Linked DNA regions of Diceros bicornis minor. The protein of the gene in region 1 interacts with the protein of each later gene in a biochemical or structural test. Links are inferred from orthologs where the notes say so. Each region holds a gene or a part of one and is shown on either strand. Other genes may lie near its edges. The genes, in order: CASP3, PANX1, PTGES3 and GSN.

The links.
Region 2: of the proteins of CASP3 (region 1) and PANX1, one has a biochemical effect on the other in vitro, tested with the Homo sapiens proteins (2 studies listed by IntAct). The link is inferred for Diceros bicornis minor from reciprocal best matches to the Homo sapiens genes CASP3 and PANX1.
Region 3: of the proteins of CASP3 (region 1) and PTGES3, one has a biochemical effect on the other in vitro, tested with the Homo sapiens proteins (2 studies listed by BioGRID and IntAct). The link is inferred for Diceros bicornis minor from reciprocal best matches to the Homo sapiens genes CASP3 and PTGES3.
Region 4: of the proteins of CASP3 (region 1) and GSN, one has a biochemical effect on the other in vitro, tested with the Homo sapiens proteins (2 studies listed by BioGRID). The link is inferred for Diceros bicornis minor from reciprocal best matches to the Homo sapiens genes CASP3 and GSN.

Annotation. Positions count from the first base shown.
Region 1 is NC_080768.1:16,324,835-16,331,688, reverse strand, and holds the start of CASP3 (caspase-3), read left to right. Parts: upstream 1-3,850; 5' UTR 3,851-3,942; intron 3,943-6,854. UniProt on the Homo sapiens protein: Thiol protease that acts as a major effector caspase involved in the execution phase of apoptosis. Following cleavage and activation by initiator caspases (CASP8, CASP9 and/or CASP10), mediates execution of apoptosis by catalyzing cleavage of many proteins.
Region 2 is NC_080746.1:39,654,580-39,661,592, forward strand, and holds the start of PANX1 (pannexin-1), read right to left. Parts: upstream 3,005-7,013; 5' UTR 2,561-3,004; coding exon 2,380-2,560; intron 1-2,379. UniProt on the Homo sapiens protein: Ion channel involved in a variety of physiological functions such as blood pressure regulation, apoptotic cell clearance and oogenesis.
Region 3 is NC_080756.1:12,196,516-12,204,376, reverse strand, and holds the start of PTGES3 (prostaglandin E synthase 3), read right to left. Parts: upstream 3,015-7,861; 5' UTR 3,000-3,014; coding exon 2,992-2,999; intron 1-2,991. UniProt on the Homo sapiens protein: Cytosolic prostaglandin synthase that catalyzes the oxidoreduction of prostaglandin endoperoxide H2 (PGH2) to prostaglandin E2 (PGE2).
Region 4 is NC_080767.1:28,448,059-28,454,985, forward strand, and holds the start of GSN (gelsolin), read left to right. Parts: upstream 1-3,918; 5' UTR 3,919-3,933; coding exon 3,934-4,077; intron 4,078-6,165; coding exon 6,166-6,370; intron 6,371-6,927. UniProt on the Homo sapiens protein: Calcium-regulated, actin-modulating protein that binds to the plus (or barbed) ends of actin monomers or filaments, preventing monomer exchange (end-blocking or capping).

The DNA.
Region 1 (6,854 bases):
TAAAGTCCACTGAGTACTTAATGAAGAAAATAAACAGACTACAATCAGATGTGACTTATAGCTCTAGTATCTACCCAATAACTGACTAGGAATAACCATGTGGACGTTCATACTTATCGACACTGATACCAGGAAAATTTTAATTTTGTAAAAATGTTGGTATGACAATGGAAGTGTGTCATACATGAAAATCAAGGAGTCAGAGTGGAAAATCAGTTTGACACTTACTGGACTGAGAAAGCCATGAATGTCAACAGAAACAAAAAAGAGAAGTACAATATATGTTATGCCCTTGTGGGAGATCAAGATTTGGCTACCCTGAAACATATCTCTTTACCTTGATTGTTTTCTCTGATGGACATTTGACCTCCCCCACTAACTGCCTAAAGAATTTGACATAGAAGATCTGTAATATAATGTAAAATAGATGTTACAATAGGAAAGGCACCAACAAGCCCATCTTATCAGAAGTTCTGTCTCTCTAGGCACATTCTCTGGATGGCCCTGAGAGGAGTTGCCAGACAAACATTTACATTTATAAGGGAAATCTCCATTTGTAAAGGTATCTCCCTTTCTGTATTGGGAAGAGGTGAGATGACTTCATTTCTAGAAACTCATCAATGTGGAAGGTGAGGCCTTAAATCTGCATAATAACCTTACTCTTGTTTACAGTGCTTTAGTGGTAATCTCCACTAACTGACTCCCCACCCCCAGCATCCTCCTTTGTCTTTAGCTGAAGATGGTATTTAAGACGAGAATTTCTGCTATTGTGTTGAGAAATGCAGTGTCCCTGCTTTCTCCCACGTATACATGTTATTAAACTTGGTATTATTTTCTCCTGCTAACCTATCTTGTTAATTATTTGGCCAGCCATAAGAACCTTAAGGGAAAGGGCAGAGGGGGCTTCTCCCTCTTCCCCCACACCCTCATGTTCTTTGCACAGTTTGAAAATTTTAACAGCTGGGTTGAGGGTTAGAAGACAACTGGGGCTTGGACTATTTGAGCAGGAGGGTGAATGACAAAAGCAAAGGAAACAGAGAACAGGAAGGCATCTGGCATTCCGGTTTTGGACTATCATATTCCTTATTCCTATCCTCTGAGAGAACGTCACCATTTTAGAAATGCTTTTAATTCCTGGTGGGGAAAGAGTGCTGTCTTTCTTTTATAGAATTGTACATCAAAACCCCTTTTCACACAGGGACCATAACTATTTTTGGTAACAGTTTCCAAGTTCCAAAGAAAAATATTTGTTGTATTTTAAAATAGTAGACTTAAGAGCACTGTTTCTTAACGTTGCACCAGAATGTTGATTTAACCATGTTGGATACCAATTTTACAACTAAACGTGGTCAGGCTAGAAAAAAGGCTGGCTTAGTCCTTTGGGAGTAACTGTAGCATAGTGAGAAAAGGGGAAGAGGGGATGGAGGTGGAGAGATGACTCAGGTGGCCATCCTATGTAATGGCCCTGGTTTCCCTGGGTTTATGCCTAGACTTGCCCAGCTAGGACACTTGATGCCCTGGTTCCCAGGAGCAGCTGGATAGGGGGCGCGTGCTTCATGATTACTGGCTTCTAGGGAGATCTGAAGCCTGCCTTGCCATGATTCTCCCTAGTCCACTTCTCCTACATTCTTCCCGTTGTTTGCCTAATCACAAGTCAATTCCTATTCCCTAACTCCAACCTCTTCCTCTGTCCTCAGAATAGATTCATCAGTATTTTGTGTTTTCTGCAGGTATGTTCTAGTTCTAGTATTTAGTAATGTTCTGGTATCTGGCAATGTTTTCTTAATATAATCCCTTTTGTGGCCTCTTGGAATACTGCTAAAGTATTCATAATAAAGTATGTAATTAAAATTCATTAATAGTAATATTATATGTTTACTTCTCAGATGAAGTAACACTGTAAGAAATATACTAATTGACTGAATTTTCTTTTTCTTCCACTTCAGTCACTTTGCCGCTCTATGCTTGAACAGAAGTAACTCATTTAAATCCCCCAAAATTCTCCTGTAAGGGATAAGAAAACATACAGTGATATATTGTTCTTTTCCAGTTACCCCTTTCTACCATCTCCACAGGCTCTCCCACCCAAACAGCCTAACTTTGCCAGACTAATGACTTTTAAAACCATTTTCGTAACTTTTCATAGGGACACCCATTAATGATTCAGAGCATCACTCAATTCACACTATAGTTAACATCAAGAGGTCCAAACTCTCTCCAGAATCTGGCCCTAAACCACTTACCCATTTTATTTCTTATCTTTCAGCCTTCTGAACCAAATGAATGAAAATCACCAAATGGCAATCACCAAATGAATGATAATAACCATTTCCTGCATCTGGCCCACTCCAAAAGTCCCTTTGCATGTTTCTCTCACCTGGAATGCCTCACTTCCCTTTTCCAAATTCTTCCCTTTCAAGGCCCGGATCAAGTTCCGCCACCTCTGAGACACCTCTGTAAAAACAAATTACTGGACTCGGTCAGAAGACATTTCCTCCAGCCAACTGTTTTACTATAATTAAAGTTTCTCTAGACTAAGTAAACTAGTATAATTACACGAAAGCAGAAAACTGCTGCTGCCTTAACTGAAGCATCATTTTGGTAAGAAAGTTTAGCACAGGAAGAGGCTTGGGCATCACAGGGGCGTAAGAGGACTTGTTCAACTATACTGGTGCCTCCCTTACGAATAGCTGCATGCTGAACCACTTAGGGGTGGGAGTGGGTCCTCCTCAGTTTTATTGCAGCAGAAAAAGGACTGCCACACTTTTGTCTTCTCTCAACTTGGGAGGGATAAAGAAAGGGCTAAGTTTTACTCCTGGGATCCCAGTTTAACTTCTGTAACTCTCCTTTTAGCGAGAACAAACTACTTAACCTTTTTAAGCCCTGATGGGAACTGGAATTCCTACCTCCCGGGGTTGTTGAAAGGATAAAATAAGAAAGTGTATTGCGCACACGTAACATCACAGAATAAGCGCTCAACAAATGGTAGCCACGTATATAACGCTGTATGTTCATGTACAAAATACGGCCCCTGATTTATATCCGAATAGGCAGAAGTGTTCTTAACATGGGGTCCCTGACTTATCAGAATGTCATGAAGCTCTAGAAATCTGATGCAGAATTTCGTGCTCAATCGTGTTGGTGTAGTCTTCTGCGAAAACGACTGAGAGTTTGCATCAGGGTCTGAAAGGCGTTCGTGACCCAAAATAGGCGGGAACCAGTAGGCAGTTAAGGCTTTAAGGACGAATTGGGGGGGGGTGACCTAAGGAAAGGCCTCAGGTCACCCGAGGGGAAGAGATTACCAGTGCGGGTCGGCCTGCTCCCCTTCCTCCCAGACGTCCAACCTTGACTCCCTTCTCTCCGCCCCTCGGGGCTGCCGCGGCTTTGAGGTCTCCCTCCGTTCACGTCCAGAACCCCGCGCCGTGGCGCGATCGCGACTTCAAGCCTGGCGCGGGGGCGGAGCCAGAGCGCGCCGGGCCTATGAGGGCGCGGCTTCCACGCGGCAGGGGGCGGTGTTCTCGGGGCGGGGGCGGAGCCAGAGCGCGCCGGGCCTATGAGGGCGCGGCTTCCACGCGGCAGGGGGCGGTGTTCTCCGGCAGGCGGGCGGGGCAGCGGGGAGCGCGCCGGGACTCTGAGGGAGCGGCGTTCTCGGGCACGCAGGGCGGGGCCGGAGCGCGAGGTCGAAGCGGGCCGGGACGGGAAGGCGGGCCAGAGCGCCCGGGGCCGCTGAGGGAGGGGCGTTCGCGGCGGCGGGGGCGGGGCGGGCCGGGGCGGGAGGGACGTGTCGGCGCGGAGGGGAGCGCGGGGCCCGGGGGTGGGGCCAGCGGGGGGCGGGCCGTGCTCGGAGCTCAGCTCGGCGGGCTGGGGGCGGCGGGCCGCAGAAGCCGAGCTGGCGGGGCGCAGAGCGGAGTGGACGGTTGAGCGCTGCGTGGAGGCTGTGCGGTGAGTGCCGCCCTCGAGTCTTCCCGACGCCGCGCCGTCGGCCCTGCCCGCTGCCTGCATCGCCTCCAGCCCGGCGCGCGCCCCGGGGTCCCTTGGGGCCTGCAGCTGCTCCGGGGAGACGGAGGAGACGGGCACGCTCCGGGCGGCGGGTCCTTTGTTTGGCCACGACGACGGGCGCGGGGAGGAGCGCTGGAGCCCGCGGAGCGAGAAACCTGGCCCGGGGTGTGGAGGCCCGGCCGCGGGTCGGGGGGCCGGGCTGGGGGTGTGGAGGCCGACAGCGGAGACCAGGCTGGAGATGCCGAGCCTGGGGGACGGGACACCGGACCGAAGATCGAGAGGCCAGGCTGGGGGCCTCGAGGCCGGGGGGCGCGTGGGGGGCGGGAGCCCGGGCCCGGGATGTGGAGGCCGCGGAGGGGAGACCCGACTGGAGATGCCCAGCCCGCGGGACGGGAGGCGCACCGAAAACCGAGAGGCCAGGCCGGGGCGCCGAGGCCGGGTAGTGGGAGGTCGGGCCCGGGCCCGGGAGCGGGGCGCGGGGGAGGGGGGCGCCGAGGCCGGGTAGTGGGAGGTCGGGCCCGGGCCCGGGAGCGGGGCGCGGGGGAGGGGGGCGCCGAGGCCGGGTAGTGGGAGGTCGGGCCCGGGAGCGGCAGGCAGCGGGATGCCAGAGAAGTGAGGGCGGCCGGGACGGGAGTAGCGGATGGTCGGCGCGGAGGAACGATGCCCCGAGGGCAGGAGGCGGGCCCGGTGCCGTCCCAGTGGCGCTGGCCCTCGGGGCTGAACCTCCCGTTGTTGGACGAGGGTGTGCTCTCTGCGGCCTTCTCTGTCTCGGGCCTAGATTTTCCCGGGTTGACTATGTAACTCAGTTTTCGGGAGAAGCAATTTCAGGCGTTAAACTCTAATTCCTTTTGAGACCTGAAGGTCTCCGTGAGTCCGTCCAGCTCGGCCATGTGATTGTGTGTCCATGGCCAAATCCACCTAGGAGCTGCTTTGAAATTCACTCAGGCCATGTTGAATGCGAGTGCCTTTCTCACACTTGTCACCCTTGTTCTCTCTCAAGCCTTATTTCCCAAGCAGCTGCCTCTCTCCCATTCTCAGTAAGTGGAACCCAAACCAAAAAACCAAGAACCAACCTTCTCAGCTACCTGTCCCCGGTCCTTCCCCAGTTAGCCACCAAAGCCTCCTCGACCTCCTAAATGTCCGCTAGATCTGTCCACTGCGCTCCATCTCTGATTTAAGTCACCCTAGGCTCTTACCTGGCTACAGCAGCCTCCTCACTGGCCTCCATACTTCCAGACCCTCTGCCCCTCTCCACTCCATTCTTTACAGCACAGGCTGAGGGATCTTTACAAAATAAAAATCTAGAAAACTGTTTCTTTGCCCATAGGAAAAACCCAGTCCCTTAGCATGGTAACATAGCCAAGCACAGGTTGGCTCCTTGGTCTCCTCACTTGCCTTATATTTCATTATAGCCTGTTTCACTTTCTACACAGCCAGGCTGATCTTAATACCTGTTCTCTGCCTGGAACATTCCTGCATTCCCACTCTGGTTGCATCACATCTGCTTGAGGAACTCCTACTTAGTTTCTGTTCTCATTCAACACTTCAAGGTTAAGTCTTCCTATTATGTGTTCCTTTCGCATCGGGATTTTCATAGAGGAAAACGTCATATCCTTTGCAGTTGCTTGTTTCCTATCTTTCCTACTAGCTTGTAAGCAAATTCCGTGAGGAACTGTGTTTGTCTTGTTCTTTACTGCCCTTCCCCATGTCCAGGGCCTGCACAAGTGAACGCCTATACTACAGTCTTATGCTTTTTAATAATTATGCCCTATCTAGAAAAAATAAACGTGTTTTAGGATTACTTAGCAAAATATAATTAAAAGATTGGATTAGGAAGGAATGGTAGAGGTGAAATATGGAGTGGTTGTAACGATGTGAGTATACAAGATAGTAATAGGAGCTGCTTAGCAAGGTGGTTTAGACCAACCTGTATCAAAACGTGCTCGGCCACTTTGAATGTGTTGTAGTTACATAATCTCTAAGAATGAAATATAAAGCTTAAATCATCCCTATCGCAACCTGATATTTGAGCTTTGGTTTTGCTTTGCTCTTTTGCAAAAGAAGGCTTTTGAAAGTTAGAATGTGCTTTAATGAACGGACAGTTTTTTGCAGTGTGGCAGTAAAACCTGTTGACGGTAAAAAAGAAATGAAACATTGTGCCTAATTAAATCGGATTTCTTTTTGCTATCCTGAAAAAGCCTTGCCTCCTGCGGTTTTAAGAGACTCACGTCTTACTGATATGGGCGATTGCAATGCTTCTTTACTGTTTTGCTTTCAAACCTGGTATAACACAATCTACTGCCGCATCCCCCTTGTAATGCTAGAAAGCAGTCTTTATTTTTATGAATGGTATTAAATTGATTCTGGTGCCTAGTATTAGATACTTCTTCAAGCTCTGCCTCAAAGATGGGAAGCACTGGTGTTTGGGCCTAAAAAAAGATGTGGGAATTCTTAGACTGTTAGATAACTGTTTTGTAGATATTTAACAAATACAAATGTAATGGAGGGGAATAGGTACTCTTGTCAGATGACCTAAGGCCAGGTCCCAAGGACGACACTTACCAGCTCATCCGTAAATAGGCATAAGTGATATACATACTTCACAGGGTTGTGAGGATAAAATGAGATAGTGTCTGTGACAGTGCTTTCTAAATCTCTGTGTAATATTGTTATTTCTCTGCTTATTTGTTCTTGCCTTCAGATTGCTTATAGGGCTTCTGAATTAGGGCAGAGTAAGATAAAGTTATCTGATGTGTAGTGCACACTGTCTGGCATCTGCCTTGCTGAGCTACTTTTGAATGCCGGTGAGCGTGGTTGTGAGTCCCACACAGGGACAGGGTCTTTCTGTCTTCCAT
Region 2 (7,013 bases), on another chromosome or scaffold:
ATAGCCCTAAGCCTGGGGAACTGAAGACCCTATCAAAAGACCCCAAGAACATGAATCCCATTCAGAGTTTGGTGTGTTGAAAGGTACACACTTAAGGAATTCATTTCTTCAATAGTTTAGATAAATACTCCTCGAATTTCAGAGCTTAAAGGCTATGCAGTCCATTTATGCCTGTATTCTACACAGAGTTGTCACCCAGCTATTTCCCAAATCTCTCTGTCTCAGAGTCAAACATGCTGCACCTCTAGAGGCATCTGGGGACAGGTGTGTTAGAAATGGGGGTCCTTCCGTGGCACAGAACTCTTGTCTCCCTGCAGTTTCCACACTGGTGACACTCGTGTGGTCTCTGAGCTACACGGAATGACACTCATCTGTCTTCCACAGAAGAGCCCTTCAACATTGCGAACACAGATTCCTCCTCACCAGAAAAATACCACAAAAGGGCATTTAAGGCACTTACAATAAAACCTAAGCTTATAAGTCAAGTGGGACAACTTCGCCCCTCCCATGATGACCTCCATCCATTAATGCTATGATCAGGGGCGGACGTCTGGGAGGGAGCCATGACTGGCCTCCCCAGGACAGCACTTGTGCTACTAAGTGACATGGGTACCACAGCAATTGAGACGTCTCCCTCCCCACACCAGGAACCACTTGCCTCTAACTGGTGAATTCCAGGCACTGGCTGGGACCTGGCAACTGTAACCTTTGGCCAGACCTCAGCAACCTTCTTCTGTGCTGCCCCTGCCCTGGAAGGCACCCCATCTCCCTCAGCTCAGCCATTCTCCAAGGGAGAACCCAGGAGAGTTCTTCAACGTGCTCTAGCATTTCCTTCACTACATTTTTATTGAGTGCTATTGAGCACAATGATTTTGGCAACTTCCTGCCAAGTTGAACAACTCGGTGCTGTAGATCACAAAATCAAACTCATTGTAACCCTTTTCTAACCAACACTTTCCTCAACTTCACTATTCCTATCAACACCACCACCATTTTCCACTCACCCAGGTCTGCAGCCTTTCCATCAGCTCTGATCAGTCTCTGCCCTTTACAGCTTATTAAAAACGAGGCACCCAAGTGCTGCTTACTGCTCCTTGCTCTCTCGGAAATCCCCCTACCCAACGTTTCCCTTCCACTCTTGGCCCCAACCACGCACAAGACCTCAACTGATGACCCATCTTACGGCATCCAGCCTACGTAGGTCCAACTCTCCACCTTCACAGACCCTACATGCTACCATCAGGCTATTTATGAAGTGCTGTTTTCAACCAGTCCACCCTATGCTCAAATAATAACTTCATACTTTTTAAACCATCAAGGCTGTACTCCTCTGTTCTAACTGACCCAGGCTCATATTCACTTTCATACCCCAGGAACCCTGACAACCCTCCTGCCTCAGTTAGTCACTGCCTCTCACCTTCCAGGAACATGTAACATTTCCTACCATCTCAAAATCTTGGCAAAAGGTCTCCCCTCTGCTTATCCAAATCTCACACACACTCCAAGGCTCAGTGCCAGCCCAACCTCTCAAATAAGCTTTCCCAAGGTCCAGCGCCACAGGTCTCTCCCTCTTTTCCCATACAGAACTGTTTCTAGCTGCCCTATACGGCCTTCCTGTTGACTCATAAATAGTCTCTCCTGTGCTGAAAGTCAGAAGAGCTGATGGGGAAGACCACACACTTACTGGCCACGTGATCCTGTCCAAACCACCAGACTGGAAATCTCACAGAACTGTTATTACTACCAATCAGAATATACATGACGGGAACTCCTTCATCACACATTCATAAGGCCATGCAAGTGGAGGATTTTGGTTTCCCTCCAATACCTGCCAAGTGCAGGTATTTTCTATCATTCACAACCCTGCAGAGCTAAAGTTTCAATAAATATCAATTAAAATAAGATAATGAAGAGAAAACACACTTTCCATGGAGCACTTGTCTTCACATCCTCTGTTCAGCCACTCAGGAACTTCTCTGGTACAAAATTTTAGGTGACTACACAAATGTGTGCAGGGGAAGAGAGGAGGCAGTTTTGTGCAAATCTGGTAGCAACGGCGCCGGTCACGAGTGGCACATGAACACTAAGCCACATTCGGGATCAGCGGGGCGCAGGGAACAGAAGAACTGAGGAGTAAGGATGCGAGCAGAGCCCACAGGGGTACAAATAAAGCACGTGGACAAAGAATGCTTCAGACCATAAAACCGGGGCTACCTTCCTTCCCAACGTTCACGCCCATCGCGCTGTCGGGGGGACTTCGGCGATACAGGCCGGCGCGCGGTAAAATCACTTCTCACCAGACCCCGGCACCTCTGTTAACGCGGCCCAGCAGGCGGGGTCCGCCCCGCCCCGCCCCGCCCTCCGGCTCCCGGGCCTTACCAATCGAGATTTCCTGCGCGAAGGCCAGCGAGATGAGCAGCAGGGGCAGCCCCACGGCGATGCACGTGACCATCTTGTCCACGGCCAGCTCCAGCCGAAGCCCCCTGAACTTGAGCTCCGAGGGCTCCTTCAGCAAGAAGTCTGAGAATACGTACTCGGTGGCCAGGTGGGCGATGGCCATGGCTGCGGCGCGCCAGGCGCGGCCAGGCAGGCCCACGAGGGCAGGCCCGGGTACCGCCGGCGTCAGGAGCGCTGCGCTGCGCCTTCACCCCGGCACTGGCCGGACCTGCGACTTTCGCTTTTCCTTTGCCAACTCCCCAGTTGCTTGCACACCCCACCAGTCTTTGTGTCTCGGTGGCCCGGCTCTCAGCGAGCCACAGAGCCAAATCTGCCTCCACGGGCGCCTGGGCGCACGAGCTCTCGCGCTCTCTCCTCCGCCGCCGAAGGGGCGCGGACTCGCCCCCGCAGGTCCCTGGGACGCGCGCGCCACCCGGGCTCGGCGCCTCTCCGGCGCGCCCGCAGGCGCGAGAACCAACCACCGCACAAAGCGCTTCCCTCTCGCCCCAGCCCCGCCGCTCTGCCCCAGCAGCCAAAGCTCCTTTGGGCAGGCCCGTGCGCTCTCAGCCCGCTCTGCTGCGCCCTTCCGGAACGATGAGGCAGACCTATTACCAAGGGGCGTGGAGTTTCCGGAAACCGCGGTGAGGCGGGGCGAGGTGGGCGCGGCAGCATCCCACAACCCTGGGATTCACCCCAGCAAAGGGATCTTCCCAGCGAGCGAGCGGTACCTCTGAAAATTCTCACGCCCCTTCCATCCTCATTCTCCCCACTTCCAGGCACTCGGGATTTTTGAAATCGACCCCTTTCTGAAAGTGGCCCCTTACCCTGTGGACAGGATGGCCCCCTTTTACGCCCCACCCTCAACATTTCTACATGGTGGAATCAGGTTAAAAAGAGCTGCAAACGCTTCAAAGAGCAACACGTGCCATAAAAGCCAGTGTAGACTGAGCCTGTGTGGAAGAGGGAGCGCTGGCCCCTTCCGAGAGCTCTGCGTGACAGGGAGGCTCTGCGGGGTCTGGGTGGTGAGCCCTGGCGTATGACTAGGTCTCAGACCTTAATTATCGCCGCTCGGTCCGCGCTACTGCTCCTGCTTTCCCAGTCGGAGCCTTGGTCGGGGAGCCAGCAGAGAGGTGTCCGCGGGTGAGTGGGTGTTGGGGGAGAGCTTCTTCTGAACCACTAGCAGGAAGTGGATGCTGAGAAATAGACAGGAGATGCTCTAATCAGGAACATTTGGAGCAGACAGGACCTTTAAACGTGAGGATTCCTTGGGACTGGACTGGGCTGCCTTCTCTTCTCTTTGTATGTGGACAGGTCCATACATGCAAGCCTCTTCTATATGTCCTCAACTCCCACAGGTACCTCTCTACCCTGGCCTCTCCTCTGAGCACTCATCCAAGGGCTACAGAACTCTTCACTTGGATAGCTCACAGGACTTCAGACTCATAATGGCCAGGCCTGCAATCCTCATCTTCCTCTCAGCCTGTACTCCTCTTCCCCATCTTGCTAATGCACTACCATCCACCCATAGGCCTGTTGAGGAGGGGGAACCTCTCCCTCTTGAGAGGAGCCTCCCTTATGGCTGGACTGATAATAAAATTGACACAAGACTGACTGACAGGAGGAAAAACAATACGTCCATTTGGGAGATCATAAAAATGATGCTCAGAGAGTGAAGGAGGCAAGCAGGTTATATATGTCTTTTTATGCAAAGAGGAGTTGACAGGGCAAAGAAACTTAGGTTCGGGGTATGTAATTAGTCATAATTAGTGAGGAATTGAGGTCATAAATTAGTAAATCTAACAAGGTTTGTTTATATAAGCTTCTTGGCCCTGAATTCCCTAGCTCTGGTGATAAGGATGTCTCTACCCCCTCCTATGGGGAGGGGGGATTTCATATGGGAGATTTATTTCCTGCTTTCAGGAGGAACAGAGAGAGGAGGATCAAAATTTTACCTGAAGTCAAAACGAGTAACCTTAATTCAAAATAATCAGTATGCCATTGTGGGATGTTTTGGGGCTGCCTGCCCTGGGCCCCAACGTGCCCAAACCAGAAACATGGAATGTCCTATTTAACGCTCCATCTCTCCCAGCTGCCATAATCAATTTCTAAATTCTTTTGCTTCTCTTTCCTAAATATAGAAAATCTGACAGTGTTTCTCCACCTGGACTGCCAACACTGATTCATCCTCTGTGCTAACCACATACAGGGATGGACCCCACAGGCCCACAAGCCATTCTCCCCCATAGCTGCCAGAGGGAGCTTTTTTTGGGGGGGAAGATCTGCCCTGAGCTAACATCTGCCAATCCTCCTCTTTTTTTTTGCTGAGGAAGACTTGCCCTGGGCTAACATCCATGCCCATCTTCCTCCACTTTATATGGGACGCTGCCACAGCATAGCTTGACAAGCGGTGCGTTGGTGCGCACCCGGGATCCGAATTGGAGAACCCGGGGCCTCTGCAGCGGAGCGCGCGCACTTAACCACTTGCGCCGCCTGGCCAGCCCCTCAGAGGGAGATTTTGAAAGCTCCAATCTGATCATGTCAGTCCTCTACTTCAAGTGTACATTGGTTTTAGGATAAAATTCAGATTTCTTAGCATGGCCACTGCCTGCCTCACCAGCTTCCTCTTCAGTTCTTCAAGTTAGCCAGGCCCCTTGCCTCCCCGAGGCCTTCTCTTACCCAAAGCACTCCCACCATAGCCTCTTATTCACCCTCCTGATCTCAGCTGGATGTCACTTCCTCAGGAAAGTCTTCTCTGATAGTACTAAACCAGAGTAGGTCGTTTTATTAAATATTCTTGTGATACTGGCACTACCAGTTACTAGCTGTGGGCCTTGGGAAAGTTACTTGACCCTCCTGTGCCTCAGTTTTCTCCTCTGTAAAGTGGTTATATCTCTTAGGATTGTGATAAGGATCAAATGAGTTAATATGTAAAGTGCCTGGCACTGATAAAGTGCCTGGCAACTGATAAGTACTGTGTAAATGTTATCTGGTATTGTTGTCCTCTATTTTTCCTTCTTAATGATAATCACAAATATAATTCAACCAGTATTTGTTTAACTGTTCATTTATTTAATGTTTGTCTCTCCCTTTATATGGTAAGCTTCATGAGGGCAGGTCCATATCCATGTATACCATTCCTATCTCCAACACTTAACACAAATGCCTGACACATAGTAGGTAGTTTAATTAATATTTATTAAATGTCTGAAGGAATCTGAAAATGTTTCACTGTGAAAATTGTTTAAAAACAACTAGCCCAACTTGCACTCATTTATCCATACATTCAAGGCATCTGTTACAGGCCAGTGGTGGACCAGTTCTGGGTTCAATGGATGGGGAAGCAAAGATGAAGTGGATACATTCCACTTGCAAAGACCTCATGGCTTAGAAAGAGAAATAAAGTATGTGCACAATTAACTATAATACAAGTTAGAAGGGGTAAGTAATATTGTGAAAGGTGGGTGTGCCAAGGGAGGTGCATAGAAAGAGTGGGGCCTGGGAGGATGAGTCGGTTTGTGGCAGGCTGAGCTGGGACAGGACTTTCTAGGAATGAATGAAAGCATGGTGCTGTGCCCCTTCTCTCCATGTCAAAATCTACAACAGGCTCAAAGGTCCCCTCTTCTGGAAGCCTTCCAGGATCGCCCCCATTGTGATGAAATCACTCTGTCCCTTAGCATTTCCTTCTTCTGGTCTAGCGTTTAGCTCATTTGCCTGGTGTGATGGTTGACTGCATGTCTGCTTTCTCATTAGATGTCAAGTTCCTCTGAGGATCTGGATGGAATTTCAGCAATTTCATAAATTGCCCTCAACCCTGGCAGAGTTTTCACCTTTAGCAGGAAGTCAGTCCACGTTTGTTGAATTTACAATACAGGCAAGAAAGAGAACTTGTCAGGAAATGGAAAGTAGGGACATCTGACACTGGTATGAGGAAGATGTAGGCGAGGGAGTCAAAGGTGAAAAGGTTGGGGCCAAAGAAGGTAATCTGGACTTTTTTTTCCAGAAGGCATTAGGGAGTTTTGGGGAAGAGTAATGGATTGTGCTTTAAAAAGATTAATCTTCCAGTCACATGTAGAGTGGATTGGAATGCAGAGGGAGGTGGAGAGGCCAGGTAAGAGGCTGTCAAAATTTTACACATGAGAGGTAATAAGAGACCAAACTGGTCTGCTGTCTTTGAAGATAAAGATGAATGGAACAGAAGAGAGCGGTAGTTAAGGGAGCCATTCTTCCCGCTGCAAAAATCAGATCAAATAATCTGACATGCATCAAGTTCTTTGGGCAGAAATAAGAAACCGAAAGCCTGGGTTCAACTCCTGGATTTGCCACTTACTTGCTGTGTGACCAAGGGTATGTGTCACTGGAAATGTCTAAGACTCAATTTCCTCATTTTCCTATAGGGATAATACTGCCTACCTCATTGGGTGTTCTGAGGATTACATGTGACATATATGTAACAGTGCCTGCCACATCATGGGCACTTAGCATTTGATAGCTGTCATTACCAACCTCAGGAGTTTAAGGTGTCATGTGAGAGTGTATGTAACATTGCTTTTATAAAAGATAGACTTTAGTTTTTAGAA
Region 3 (7,861 bases), on another chromosome or scaffold:
AAATTTCATAGCCTCAGGGCTCCGTTACCATATGTCAAGAAGTGGCACAGGTTTTAACAGAAACAGTAGTTTAGATAATAAATAAAAATGAACTACAGAGACATGATTCTTTATTTGGAAATTAAAGGACCACCTGAGGGGCCGGCCCTGTGGCGCAGCGGTTAAGTGCACGCTCCGCTGTGGCGGCCCGGGGTTCGCCGGTTCGGATCCCTGGCGCGCACCTACACACAGCTTGTTAAACCATGCTGTGGCAGCGTCCCATATAAAGTGGAGGAAGATGGGCACGGATGTTAGTCCAGGACCAGTCTTCCTCAGCAAAAAGAGGAGGATTGGCATCGGATGTTAGCTCAGGGCTGATCTTCCTCACACACACACACACACACACACACACACACACAAAAGGACCACCTGAAAATTATTCTCCCTTTTTGTTAAGTAGAAAAAAATAAGCCTTCTGTCAGAAATCCTGGGTTCCAATTCTATTTGAGACAGCCCTTTATACTAATTGGTGCTATGTGAATTGATATTTGAATAACTAGATCCTAGAATCTAATAAAATTAAAAATTTTAAACACCTGTCTGTAACTTAGATCCTTTCAGTACACAACGATAATTAAACATGCTAAGGTGGAAAGGGCCCCGACATAAACTTTCCGGCAATAAAGTATAGCTACATGTGAAGATCAACTATTGCACAGAAAATCCACAACAGCACATTTTATTTGGCTGTGGGATACAACATGAAATTGAGTATACTGCTCAAGGTAGGGTTTCAAGTAATTGGCATCTTCCTGGAAAAATCAAAAGTTCAAAGGTGTCCTGGGGAAGTCAGCCTCAATTTAAAATCTATCACTGCCAATCTATACAGTAAATTACAAAAAGTTTACTACAACACACTTTGTATTTTTGTAGCAAACTACACTAGATGCAACAATTCTCAATTTAAGAACTCAGATAAAATAGGATCTTAAGCGTTTAAGAGCTAGATTGATTCTAAAACAGTTGATATTACAAAGGTATTTTTTTCTGAAAAGCTACAATCACAAGCCACTTAAGACCCCAAAATGATATAGCTTCTAGATTTCAAAACTGAGAAAATACAATTAAACAGAAGAATCTTAATTAACAATACATACTGGTCTGCACTCAGGTGATTTGTCACTTCCAGTTTCTACTGCCTTCTAGTTAAAGTCTAACTAAACATAGAAAAAAAGAAAATCCAGTTGCCAGATTACAGTCGTTAGGAAGTCAACACTGAACAAAGACCATGATCAGTTACTTTTCCTTAGCTTTTAGAAATTAACCATATACCCCATGCTCACTATTACAATTTGTTCTGGAAACAAAACATTGATGATTTTACTTTCGGGTCCCAATCCTACAAAGCTGAGTGATGGCAAAGTAAATAAGATTTTAATCAACGTTAGAAATAGTCATGGTATAGTTCTGGACAATTTATTAGTTTAAGTACAGGACACCAAAAAGAATGACTTCAAATAGCTCAAAACTAAATAAAACATTTTACTTTATACCCACTGTCAATGGGTCCAACTTAAAACCAACTACAATCGCTAATTTAAAAAAAAGCAAATGAGCACCCCCTGCAGGGGGTTTGCGCAGGTCTTAAATGGGGGAGGGAGGTCCTAAAATTCCAGCCTTCTCCAAGGTAGGTGAGAGATTGAGAGCTTTCATGTATGCTACTATACAAAACTTTAAAAACGTGATTAAAAGAAATTTACCCAGGAAATCACTACTACAGAGCATTCAAAAAAAAAAAAACAAAAAAAAAACCAGACCCTAAAACCCTTAAGATTTCCAGCATAAATGTCTATTTCCACAACTAGAAAAATGTTTATAGCAGACATCAACAAAATGAACCCTTATCAGTGGATTCTTCCTGGGACTGGATGACCCATTAAAAGTTTTTCCCAATTCAAATAACTCATAATATTCATCTTGTAAATTCATTCATTTTATTAGTTCAATAAGATATCCTAAACAATTTGCAAAATTGCATATATTGACTATTTTAAAGAGGATGAGATTTATCTGATCTCTTCAAAACACTCATTTTGAAAGTAGCATTCTTTACGTAGAGACAGTGCTTTTTGGAATATTGTTACACTTTTCATCTTTTAATCTATTTAGTTAAGGTTTCCTATCTAACTATTTTATGTGACCTCCCTAGAGTTTTTCTATTTCAAACCGTATTAAACATGGTATTTCTTAACGAAAAGATATTTTGTTTGGCTACATTAGTCTATTAAAAGTTGGTAACGCTTTATCTGAGAATTCATCTTCTTCTCATAGATACTTTAAGACCGACAATCCTGCTACATTATTTGGAATAGAGATTTCAAAGGGAAAAGCAAAAGCTATTTTACATAAATTAAAATCTTCTATTAGATATCACCTATGGGGGAAAAAAATCCTTCCAAAATTCTAATAAATTCCCTTTACAGTAACACATGCTTTCCTCCCGAGGCTTGTTCCCCGTCGTCAACTGGCTATAGTGTATCCTTTACCATTTAAATGTCTAATCCAACATACTCACCGTTAATGTCATTAATTACATAAACCCTTGAAAGTGCATTACTTTTTATAGGAATAAAAACTGCTCCCCTTCAATTGCTCTCCATACGTAACCTTTAGAGAGCAGTTAGTCCCAAAAACTATAAAACCGGCAGTTCACACACCTGAAAACGTAAAAGCTTTTCCTGAGAAGAATGTAAGACCTGGAAGTGGCAGTGCCAAGAATTCTTAGTCGGTTAAAATCACCGAGGTTTTCCTTTACCATAATAAAAACTAAAGATCGCTAAAAAATGTGTGGTCACCTCCACAAAAACAAATTTAAGCTCTTCAAGACAACAAGGAGGCAATCACATACCTATTTCAACCTTAAATTAGGATAGGATAATGAAACCTCGCCTGTTAACAAAGAACACAGAAAATGTCCACAAGTATCTCTGGACTCGACACGTGCACAACTACCTGCTCATGGTAGCTCCTGGCTGCCAGGGACAAAGCTGCGTTTTGGTAACCTTCAGCCCCTTAAAGGGACTAGAGTTATGGGGAGGCCTGGAAAGACCCACGCTCAAGAAATCCCGACACCCGAGAGGGAAGTAAGTGGTGGCGCCGGCGCGGCCTCCTCCAGTTGCCTAGCAGTGCCTGTCGCTTCTCGGCGGAGGCCGCATGGGGCCCTCCGAGGAGCACCCCCAGCTTCTGGGAGCACCCACCACAGGTGCACTGGCCCACGGCCTGGTCCCAGACAACAGCGCGGCCGAACCGCACGGCCCAGGATGCCAAGCGGCAATCCACGAGGGCCCCCACCTCCAGGGCGCCCACATGGCCCAAAGCTCGCGGGAGACGAAGGCCAGAGACTAGTTAGGGACAGTTACGGACAACGCGGACTGCCCAAAGGGGAAAGCGAACATCTGGAGGAAAATGTCCTCCACCCGCCACGATACCCGGAACAGGGTCCTGGACCTCCAACCCCGGGGAGGAACGACTGCCACCACTGAGGGGAGAGAGCCGAAGGGGCCAAGAGCGGGGTAGGGGGAGGCGGCTTCCCGACAGCCCCCAGCACGGCCTCGGCCTCCCTCCGGGGCGACCTTCCCTCGGAGGGGTGGCGCACTCACATCGCGAACGGGGCAGGGGGACGGGCGCACGGATGGGCGGGCCTCTCCGGCGGCAGCTGGTGGGCAGTCGGCTCCTCTCCGGTGGCGACTCCGGCGTTTTCTCCTCGTCGCGGCCTCTTCTCGCTTCCCTCAGGCGACGGCGGCGGCGGGCTCGACCCGGGTCCCCAGAATGCACCGCGCGGAGAGAGCGGCTCCTCCGGTCGGGGAGAAGAGGAAACTGTAGGAAAAGGGGCGCGAGGACGGAGAATGAACGTGCGTGCGTGCGAGCGAGGGGTGGTGAGGCCGGGCGGCGGCTGGTGACGCAGCAAAATGCCCGGGCCCTACCGCCGCGCGTGCGCACTCTTTGTTTTTGGTTTCCTGCGCGGCTTTCTAGAGATATCTACGGAAAGGGCGGGGCCTCCCAGCTCCTTCGCGATCCTTCCCGGCGTTGGCCCCGCCTTACGTCCGCTCTCTCCCGCCCGACTCGTTCCCGCCTCTGCTCCTGCGCTCCCCCCTCGCGTCGGAAAACCGTTGGCCGCACCGCTATGGGGCCACGCGCCGGGGGCCGTCTCCGGGGGAGGCGAGCTGAGGCGGAGAGACGCAGAGTCGGGAGGCTTGAAAAGTGAAAGGGAGGACTGGTTAGTCTTGAGGAAGTAAACCAGCCCACCGAGGAAACATTCCACCGCCAAAAGATGCGAAAAGCGGTGCTGGTGATAGTTGCGGAAAGGGCTGACTTCAGAATCCAGGGCCTAGTCCACCTCGCCGTTTCTCTGAGGGTTGGAGACCGTGTCCAGGGGCAGCGGAAATTTGAGGTCTTTGGCTGAGGAGGAATGTTTGCCATTTGGGGCGGGCATTTCCCCCTGCTTTGAGGTATTAGTGCTGTAGGTGAGACAGGAAGGTCATGTGAATGGAGAGGCTAGGACACTCGGTGTCTCCAGCTACATCAGTTGGGGAGAGAGTCCCCCATCTGTTTCAACCTTTGTCTCTTGAACTGGTGCTTTGTGCAAGGCACTGGGTTAGGCTCTAATGGGAGATAGTAACCAAGAGAATCCAAACAGTACCTGCCTACTCTAGAAGGCCACTAAACAGTGGAGTAAGGGAGAAACACCAGTGCACCGCCCGTTAGAACCCAAAGGAGGTGTAAGGAAAGTGCCCTGAGACATTTTGGAAAGAGTGGAGGCTGCATATTCGGCATTAAGGACTTAAGTATCTGTGCGGGGCAAGGCAGGTATTGAGAACTGCAACCCTGGGCCCTATGCTCAAATCCCGTGAAAAAGGAAGGTTAAATCTCAGCTCTTAAATACTGTGATTCTAAGGAGCCTACTGCCTGTTGGGGAAAATAAAATTCGCAAATGCAGATAACTGAGTGCTATAATGGAAGTACAAAAAGTGATGGGAGCATAAAAGGAGGAGAGGTCCACATTGACTGGAAGGATTAGGATAGGCCTTGTTAAAAGTTACCCAAAACATGGAAATAAGGCAAGGCCTGGAGGGATGGCCTTGCAGTTCATACTGGGACGTGTTTTAACTTGCCTGTCTAAGCATTATTCTCTGGGAGAAGGTACCTGTGTTTGGCTTTGCTATTTATTAAATGATTAGAGCTCAAACATTGTAAGTTACTTGTAACGCTGTAGATTTCTGATTGATAGAAAAGCTAACCCCAAAGTTACAGTTTTATTGCTGTGTAGGACAGTATTTTTGTTTAACCTTCAACCTTATTGTAATTTTTATTTTTGTGGCTCTAAATACTTAGCTCCTTAAATACGCCTGCAACCAGTTTTACCGTCTTACTGGTTCCGTCAGTGAGTTCAATAAATGTTTGGCTCGTGTTAATTTTATATTTGTGGGAGAATCATGTTTGTAAATTTTTTGAAAATTCTTTGACAGCCTCATAGAGGTGACAGCAGGAATGAGTGGGAATAGTACATTCCAGGCAGGACTCTAGATAGGTGAAGAGAGAGAAATAGAAGTATAGGGGCAGGCCCCGTGGCGTGGCTGTTAAGTGCACACGCTGGCGCCCTGGGTTCAGGTCCCAGGCGAGCACTGACGCACTGCTTGTAAGGCCATGCTGTGGCAGCGTCCCACATAAAGTGGAGGAAGATCGGCAGGGATGTTAGCTCAGGGCCAGTCTTCCTCAGCAAACAAAGAGGAGGATTGGCATGGATGTTAGCTCAGGGCTGATCTTCCTCACACACAGAAAAAAAAGAAAGAAAGAAATAGAAGTACATCTAGATCAGGCATTGGCAAACTTTCTGTGCAGGGTCAGATAAGGCCATAAGGTCTCTATTGCAACTTCTGAACTCTGCTGTTGCAGCATGAAATCAACCATAGAAAATATGTAAAAAATGAGAGTGGCTGTGTTAAAAAAAAAAAACACTAAGAATGCTGAAACTTGAATTTCTTATGTTTACATGTCACACGATATTCTTTTCCAACCCTTTAAAAATGTAAAAATCATTTTTACCTGGAAGGCCATACAAAAACTGGCAGCCTGCTGGGTTTGGTCTGCAGGCTGTAGTTTGCCAACCCCTGGCCTAGGTAGTCCAGAGTATAGAGGAATGATTCAAAATAAGGTTTAGATGGTAGGTCACAACCAAGTAATGGTGGCATTGAATACCAGGCTAATTGTTTTCAACTTATTTCTCTGACAGTGGGAAGCTGTTGAAGTTTTTTGAAGGGCAGTAACACTTGTGTTCTAGAAAGATTAATTTGGTAACAATGTATAAGGTGAACTAGAAATGGAGGAACTGAATTGAAGATAGCGTTTAGAAGACTGCAACTCCAAATAACTGGCAGTTTCCCTTATCTAAATAAGTGCTGTGGGAAAAACTGCCTTCCACACAAGAAATTTTTGAAAATTCAAATCCGTTGCATCCTACTTCATAGTTTATTTACTTCCCCCGTCAGACGTATTTCAAGGGATTTCATGTTAGTGTAGCTCTGGAAATGGCTTCTCACTCAGACGTTTCACAAATAGTTTGTAATCAGGTTTATCCATCCCTTTACATGTTATCTCAACCATTAGCTGGTGGGGACCCAAGTTGTACCAGGTTCCTTTTTCGAATTCACTAACAAGTTCTCTTTCTAGATTCAAACATGTATAGTTACAGTGTTAGGGCTTTTGGGAGAGAAATCTGCAACCCAAATTGGCATAAACTAGAAAATACCTGGCAAGTAGTAGATGCCCATTTCACAAGTTTAATACTAACAGTAGTAAAAAGAATGCAGAAACAATTTGTCGGTTATAATTGTAGCATCAACCTTCCGATATTTTCTGAGGACTGAATTTAAATATGTGTCCATAGTCACTAACAGCAAAACAGAACTTTATAGATTTACATGTGCAATTAAAAATATTTTTTTAAATAATAACAGATGAGAACAGACTGGTTTTATGAGAGGATTTTCTAATAAGATAAAGAACTTACAGGTTGTTAATTTTGTATTTGTAAGGCAAATAAAGGGAAAGGGGGTAAAGTAGTAATCTGTTCTAGGTGTAGGGAATAAGAAATTGGTCATAAAGTTTAAGGGAAACATCATGACCTAGCTAAATGTAAACATCATGTATAGCAACTTAAATTACTTCATGTTATCTGATGCCATTATTGTCCCACAATTTGAAAGCATACCCTATCAGTCTCGTTTGGCAGTAATAGAGCTAAAAACAACTGTGCCTTGTATTTACCTTTTTCATATTCTGAGTTTTGCTACCAGTCTCTCACTGTGGGCCAACAACAGCATGAACAGCTCTAGGTTAAGGAAGAGGCTTTATTTTTTTTAATTTTTTAATAATTTTTAAAATTTAGTTATTTTTCCCCCAAAGCCCTATAGATAGATACAACTATAGATAGTTGTATGTCATAGCTGCACATCCTTGTAGTTGCTGTATGTGGGACGCGGCCGGAGAAGCGGTGCGTCGGTGCGCGCCCGGGATCCGAACCCGGGCCACCAGTTGCGGAGCGCACGCAGTTAACCACTAAGGCACAGGGCCGGCTCGGAAGAGGCTTTAAAAAGCTAATTTATGTTTTTTAATGAAATACATTGAAATCTTCTAAAAATGGTCTTCTACCCCAAACATCACCTCATATATACCTGGAGTTCATATTATGGAAAATAAGACTATAAAAAGAGTGATATATGTTTATTTCTATGTAAATTAGCAATATTCTCTAGCATCAGAAGAAATCAGGTAATAAAGTTTTATTTTAGTTTCATGGTCTTCATGAATGAGAATGTGTTACAGT
Region 4 (6,927 bases), on another chromosome or scaffold:
AGGGCTACGGGGCTTCCCTGGTGCAGCCTCCTGCCCCGGCCTGGGAGGTGTGGTAGGGATGGCCGCCCCAGAGACTCCTGGCTGCCACGCTTCACTGGGGCTTGACAGGCTTAGCAACTGCAACCCTTCATCCGGAAAGGGCACTGTTGCTCCCCGGCCAGGTTGGATGGTGTCAGGAGACCCTGCTTGATCTCTCCAGACAGAGCTTGGGGACTGGAGCCAGCCAGACTTGTGTTTGAATCTCAGCAATGCCTATTTCCAACCTCAGCAAGTGACTGAAACTCCCTGAGTCTCAGTTTCCCTGTCTGTAAAATGGGAACTTTAGTGCTTATTTCCCCTGGTTGCTGTGAGGAGACTCAGTATTAGATCCCTCTTTCTTCCCTCCCTTCTCCCAGAGATGTCTGGATCCAGAAGCGGGGTGGCATGCTGCCATTGGTGATGGCGGTGCCTCCTTCTGCAAGTCAGGGGCTCTGGACTGTCTGATTCAGAAGGACCTGTAGAGGTGACCTGGTCCAGTGCCCCTATTTTACAGATGGGAACCCTGAGGTTCAGACACATGTAGGTCCTGGATATGGTTGCACAGCCAGTATCTGGGGATGCTGGGGCTAGGAATGAGACCTCAAATCAGAGCATTGGGGCCTACCCCGTCTTTCGCGTATGGAGACTCTGAGGCCCGGACAGGGACAGTCACCCAGGAAGTCAGTGGCAGAGGCAGGCCTAGCACTGGGGCCTCTTCCTTTCTACCTAGGGGTCTTTCTTTTGCACCCAAGTCCCCTGCTGTCCCGAACTCATACATTCTCTTCCAGGCAGGGAGCAGCATAAGACCATGTTGCCCCCATTGCAGTCTCCGCATATCACTGCACTATAGCGAGAGTTTCCGGGCTGTGGGCTCCCCCAGGACAGGGGCAGGGCGTGTTCACCAGCTCTCCAGTGCCGAGGACCAGGCTCCAGAACTAGTGGCCGGCAAAGCAGTAGGGCCTTTGTGATCATTAACCTGGGGGCCACTGACCCAGGGCTGGTGGTCCATGACCCCTGAGGCCAAGGCCAAACCACACAACCCTCTGTTAATCACCAACTGTGTGGTCAGGGCCACACTGCTCCAGGAGGGACTGCCAGGCTGGGCCAGCTGCCGACTGAGGTTCACTCTGGGGGGTTGGGATGACACGGAAATTTTCTTCTGACTTGTTTGGATTTTCCCATTTGTCTAATGAGCAGGCATCACTTTAAGTGTATTTTTTAAGGGTATTATTCCTAGATCAGGGATTAACTAAAAAAATAAATAAATAACAACTACGTTGGATACATACATGTAAATAGTTTCAAACCCTACAGCAAGTTTTTAAAATTGTTATGCAAGTATATTGAGGTATAATTTACATACCATAACAATTCACCCATTGTAAACATACAGTACTGTGATTTTCAGTAGATTTTTCAGCTGTGTAATCATCACCATAATCTAGTGTTAGAATGTTTTCATCCCCTAAAATGTTCCCTTGTGCAGACTGCAGTAATCTGGGCGCTTAACTCCAGCCTCAGGCAGCCACGGCAATGTTTAAGAGTGAATGTCTCCCCCTTCACCCCTTTCAAGCAAACCGCCTTGACAGTTTGTCATTTACCCTGCTGGACTCTTTAAGGATCTATGCAAAAACAGACACTCTTATAAACGAGAGGAGAGGAGCCACACTGTAGTCGTTGTAGAATTTGCTTTTTGCACTTGGGGATCTCTCCATGCTCGTGGAGTGCCTACTATGTGCCCGGCACAGTAAATCTAGCCCATTCCTTTTTCACAGCTGCAGAGTGGTCCATTGTACGGCAGCTCCATGATTTATTTAATCAGGACAATTGAGTCCTTTCCAGTTTTCTTCAAACAGTGCTTCAGTGAACATCCTTGCACATATTATTTTTGTGTTCCTCTGTAAGTAATACTGAAGGACGCGGAACTGTTGCTGCATTGTGTGTTTCAAATTTGGATAGTCAAATTGCCATCCGGAGAGGTGAAACCGGTTTATGCTTCCATCAAGAGCACATGAGAACTGTGGGGTTTTTATAATCCTCCACATGCCTAGGGAGAGGCAAGAGCCCTCTGAATTTAGGCCAGAGCCGGCCCACTGCAGGCTCTGCAGGCCCAGGCCTAGACTTATAGCACTGAGAACTTGGGCATCTCTATGTGGCTCCCCACAGACGCTGGGATAAAGTTCAGACTCTTCAGGGTGGTGCACGGGCTCCTGTGACTCCTGCCACCCTCTCCAGCCTCATCGCCTCTCGCTGCCTGTGTTTCAGACTGGACCTCTCATTATTCACTGCTTTTGCTTGCCCTTTGCCCATGCCGTTCCCTCGCCCCCCTGCCCCCCAGAATGCCTTTTCTTCTCAGTCTTCTTCCTCCCTGTCCTTCAAGGGACAGAGTCTCCTCTCTGTGTTCCCTTAGCCCTTTATCTGACCCACAATCCCCCTTAAGTGGGAGGAAGTTGCATTGGTGGAGGGCAAATTTCACCCTGATTAGATAGAAGCTGGGCTCCAGGAAGAGCTGGGACAGGTAACTATAGCTTGTGGGGAAGGGGGACGGGATCTTCCATTTACCTAGTTGCAGGCCAGGCCATTTTCACACACGCAGACTGATTTAATCCTCAGCAACTATATACCCATTTAGTATATGAGAAGACTGAGGCATAGAAAAAGAAAGTAACTTACACACAGTGGAGGCGGGAATCAAACCCAGGCCTCCAACTCCCTGGTTCTCTTTCCTGTCGTTGCACCAGTTGTTGGGGAGGGGGAGATCCGAGATGCAAAGAGAACCTGGAAATAAAGAAGTTGGGTCCAGCAGAGTGGTGGGAGGGAGGAGAGACGGGTTGGTGGAGGTGGGAAGTGGACCTAGGTGAGTTTGAATAGCACTTCTCCTAACCCAGTGATGGGAAAGGAGCCTGGGAGTGGGGGAAGAGACTTAAATCCTTGCCTTCTCCAAGGGGAGCCAATAGATAAGATGTAAAACTGGAAAAAAAAAAAAAAAAACCCCAAAACAACAACTACAAGAAGCAAAGGAGGGCTTGTTATTTAAGACATGAAGGTAAACCCTGGAATCATCAGCTAAAGGAGGAAGATGGATGTGCCTGCCCCTGGGGAGACGTGAGTGGGGTTGAGAAAGAACACCTTTGTACAAATCCGTGACTTTAAGTTTTGATAAAAATAAAAGTTTTTTAAAAAGAAGGAAAGAAGGGCAGTCTTGAGGGCAATGATGGAAGTTGAGAGGTCTGCCCGCCCCTCTCTGAGTCTCTCTTGTTGACCGGCCCAGTGAAGGGAAGCCCCTTGCACTGCTGCCCTAGTGGCTGGCAGCCGCATGCTACCTAGGTGGGCGTTCCACTCAGACCCCCTGGGTTCAAATCTTGGCTGTACCATTTCCTTGTTGTGTGCACCTTGCTTGATCATTCTGCACTCAGTTTTCCCCTCTGTAAAATGGGGCTGTCCATAGTACTCTGTAAAGGATGTTAGGATGTGTCAGCTTTCATATGATGTGTTCAAGTCTTCAATAAATGTTAATTCCTGTTATTTTTTGCTGGAGGTGTTAGTGCGGAGAGGGGAGGGGACTTGCGTGGGTCACACAGGAGGCTGAGTTGGGCCCCCCGCCTTTCGTGCGTGCGCCCATTTAGTGTGCACTGAGTTAGGGCCTGCTGTATGCCAGGCCGTGTGCTTGGTCTCCGCCCCAGAGCTGGAGTGAAGGAGTGGGCGCGCCCAGTCGGGTCGGCCCGGGTGGGAACCCCGATGTCTCCAAAATCCAAGCCAGATCCCCGCCCCTCCGAGGCCCGCGGGGGCCCAGCCCTGTCCCACGCCCTCCCTGCGGGGCGGTCCCCAGCTTGGGCGGGATGGTCGGGCGGCTACTTAAGGCCGGCGACCCGGAGGCAGGGGGTGCCGACCGGGTCTTCTGCCGCCGTCGCCGCCATGGCTCCGCACCGCTCCGCGCCCGCGCTGCTCGGCGCGCTGGTCCTGGCGCTGTGCGCGCTGTCGCCGCCGGCCCGCGCGGCCACCGCGTCGCGGAGGGCGGCCCAGGCACGGGCGCCCCAGGGACGGGCGTCCCCGACGCGGGTGAGTGCCCGGGGGGCCCGGGGGCTCCCGGAGTAACTCTCTATTGTAAGTTCTTGCAGATACAGCACTAGGAAAAGGGGAGTAATTCAGGTCTAGAATGGAAAAACTGTTTTGTTGCTTTGTAAGTATCTCTTGCTGCTTCCGGGGCTCCCGTGGATGGGGGTGGGAGCCTCGGGGCCCTGGCTGTTTCCCTCCCTGGAGGCTAACCTTACCTTGGCCGGATTTCTTTTCCCTCGTCGCTGCCTCTGATTTCTTACCCATCCCTGCCGCCTGATTTCTCCTTTTCCTTGTCTCATTTCTCCTTCCCTCTGCCTGATGTCTCTCCTTCCCTCTTCTGATCTCTTCTTCCATTTCAGATTCCTTTCTCATCTGATTTCTCTCTCAGTCTCCAATATTTTCTGCCTCTTTCTTTTATGATCTCCCCTCTGCCTGCTTATCTTCACAACTATTATTGACTCTCCCCTCTCTGATATTGTAACCGCCTGCCCTCCAGGACCGGTTCAACTGACCCCCTCTCGTGTCAACAGAGTGATTAGTTATCTTATCAACAGAGTAATTGCCTTTCAGAAAATTTGCAAAGTCTGGTAGCCAGAGCATGTGCAGAAGAAGAAATTGTGACCTGAAATAACCACAGAACCAAAGATGCTCCTCCAGAACCCAAGGACCGGGACATGACTAGGATTAAAAAGTGGGCCTCTTATCAGAAGCCGGGGGTCCCTCATTCAGGAAGATCTGGTGTTAAAATTCCTTCCCCACCTCATCATAAATGTTTAGAACCCTGTCATAAAGGCTTGAAGCCCACCAATCAAAACCTATCCTGCTATCGTTTCCACCTGCCAGCCTGTTCTCCGTAACCTCTTAAATGTAACCCCAAATCCTGAATGGGACATACAGATCCGAGGGCACACTCCTCATCTCCCTGCAGATCGATCTTGCAGAATAAAGCTGATTTCTCCCCCAAAAGCTGTTGCCATAATTAATTGGGTTTTTTAATGCACATTGGGCAAGAGAACCTCAATTTTGTGCGGTAACAATATCTCCTCTGCCCTGTCTGGTTTCTCCTCCTCTCTCCTGCTTCCCTTTTGTTTTCTCCACCCTCTGCCTGAATTCTTCTTCCCATCTGGTTTCTCTGACTTCTCCCACCAGATTTGTCCTCCGGCCCGAGGTGACCTGCGCCTGCTGATTTCTGCCCTCTGGCTCCAGGCTAACCATCCCACTCTGCTCCGTCTCTAGCCCTCTAGCCCGAGTGCATGTCTGAAGGCCTTTCCCCATCCTTGGCCACCTCATCTCCAACAGGCTCCTGCAGACCCTGGCTGTGTCCTCTCCGCCTTTTCCAAGAAATGGAATTTGGGGGTGGGGTGTTGGGGGGCAGGAGGGAGGAGGCAGACAGCGCAGGAGGCCACTTGGGCTTAGTCATCTAGGCCCTTCTGGGGGGTGTGATGGGGACATGGATGGGGCATGAGATATCGTCCCACTTCCAAGAACAAAAGCAAACAAGCTGTGTGACCTTGGGTTAGTTTCCTCCCCTCTCTGGGCCTCAATTTCCCTATCTGCAGAATGGGTTTGGATAATGAGATTTCTGAGGACCCTTCTAGTTCTAAGAGCCACTGAGGATGCTGGAAGGGAATACGCTGAGCCCTTGGGGACCCCAACTTACCATTTCCATCTGAGGGGGTCTCCCTATGGTCCCAGATCTCAGGCTCTTAGAGCCTGGGGCAATTCCTCCTATGCCGTTTCCTAGCAGGGGTCCTTGGCAGAGTCACTTCAGCTCTCTGTGCCATAGCTGTACTATCCAATTGGTACTAAGAAGGGAAAGGAGAAGGGAGGTAGAGCTCTCTGTCCCTCCATCACCGGGAGCTGAGTAGGAGAGACAGACGCTGGCTGGGGACAGGGTTTTAGCCTACACTCTGCCCTGTTTGCTCACTCATGGAGACAGGGGTCATAGAAGTGGGGAGACTCACCTAGGGGGTGGGGAGAGTCAGAGGCTCAAGTGAGATGCTCTTGGTGCTGGAAACCCCCCTCCCTCGTGCCCCGGGGTCTCTCCGCCAAGGCTCCTGCCCCGCTCAGGCTCTGCCCTGTCTCTTCCAGCCCAGCAGCATGGTGGTGGAACACCCCGAGTTCCTCAAGGCAGGGAAGGAGCCCGGCCTGCAGATCTGGCGTGTGGAGAAGTTCGACCTGGTGCCCGTGCCCCCCAACCTTTACGGAGACTTCTTCACAGGCGACGCCTATGTCATCCTGAAGACGGTGCAGCTGAGGAATGGGAACCTGCAGTACGACCTGCACTACTGGCTGGGTGAGCCGCCCCGCCCAGCGCCCTCCCCCGGAAAGCACGGACCTCTGAGGCGTGGTTCCCAGGAAGCACCCATGGGCGCTGACTATTGAGCATCAAGTACGCGCCAGGCCGTTGGCTAGCGGTTACGTGTCCCCAGACTCTAGAGCCAGCCTGCCCGAGTTCAGACCCAGCTCTGCCCTTTGGCAAGTCACTCAGTGCCTCTGTGAAGTGGACATGGTGATAGCGCCACCTCCCTCACAGGAGTGTCGTGAAGGTTAAGCCCATTACTATGGCCCTCAGAACTGGAGGTGACTTGGGGACCCTAGACTCCCCCATAGCTTCCCTGACCCAGCTCCAGACACACCCCAGTTTCCCATTCAGAGTCAGGAGCCTGGAATCCTTGCCACGGGTCTGCTGTGTGACTCTGTAAGTCATGCCCCCTCACTGTGCCTCAGTTTCCTAATCTGTGAATAGAGCCTGTGCTCCCAGGCTGAGAGTGAGTGTGGGGGATGAGTCAGAGCTGGAGGACTCTTGGAGACCGTGGAGTCCAGCTCCCCAGCTCCCCCGTTATACAGATT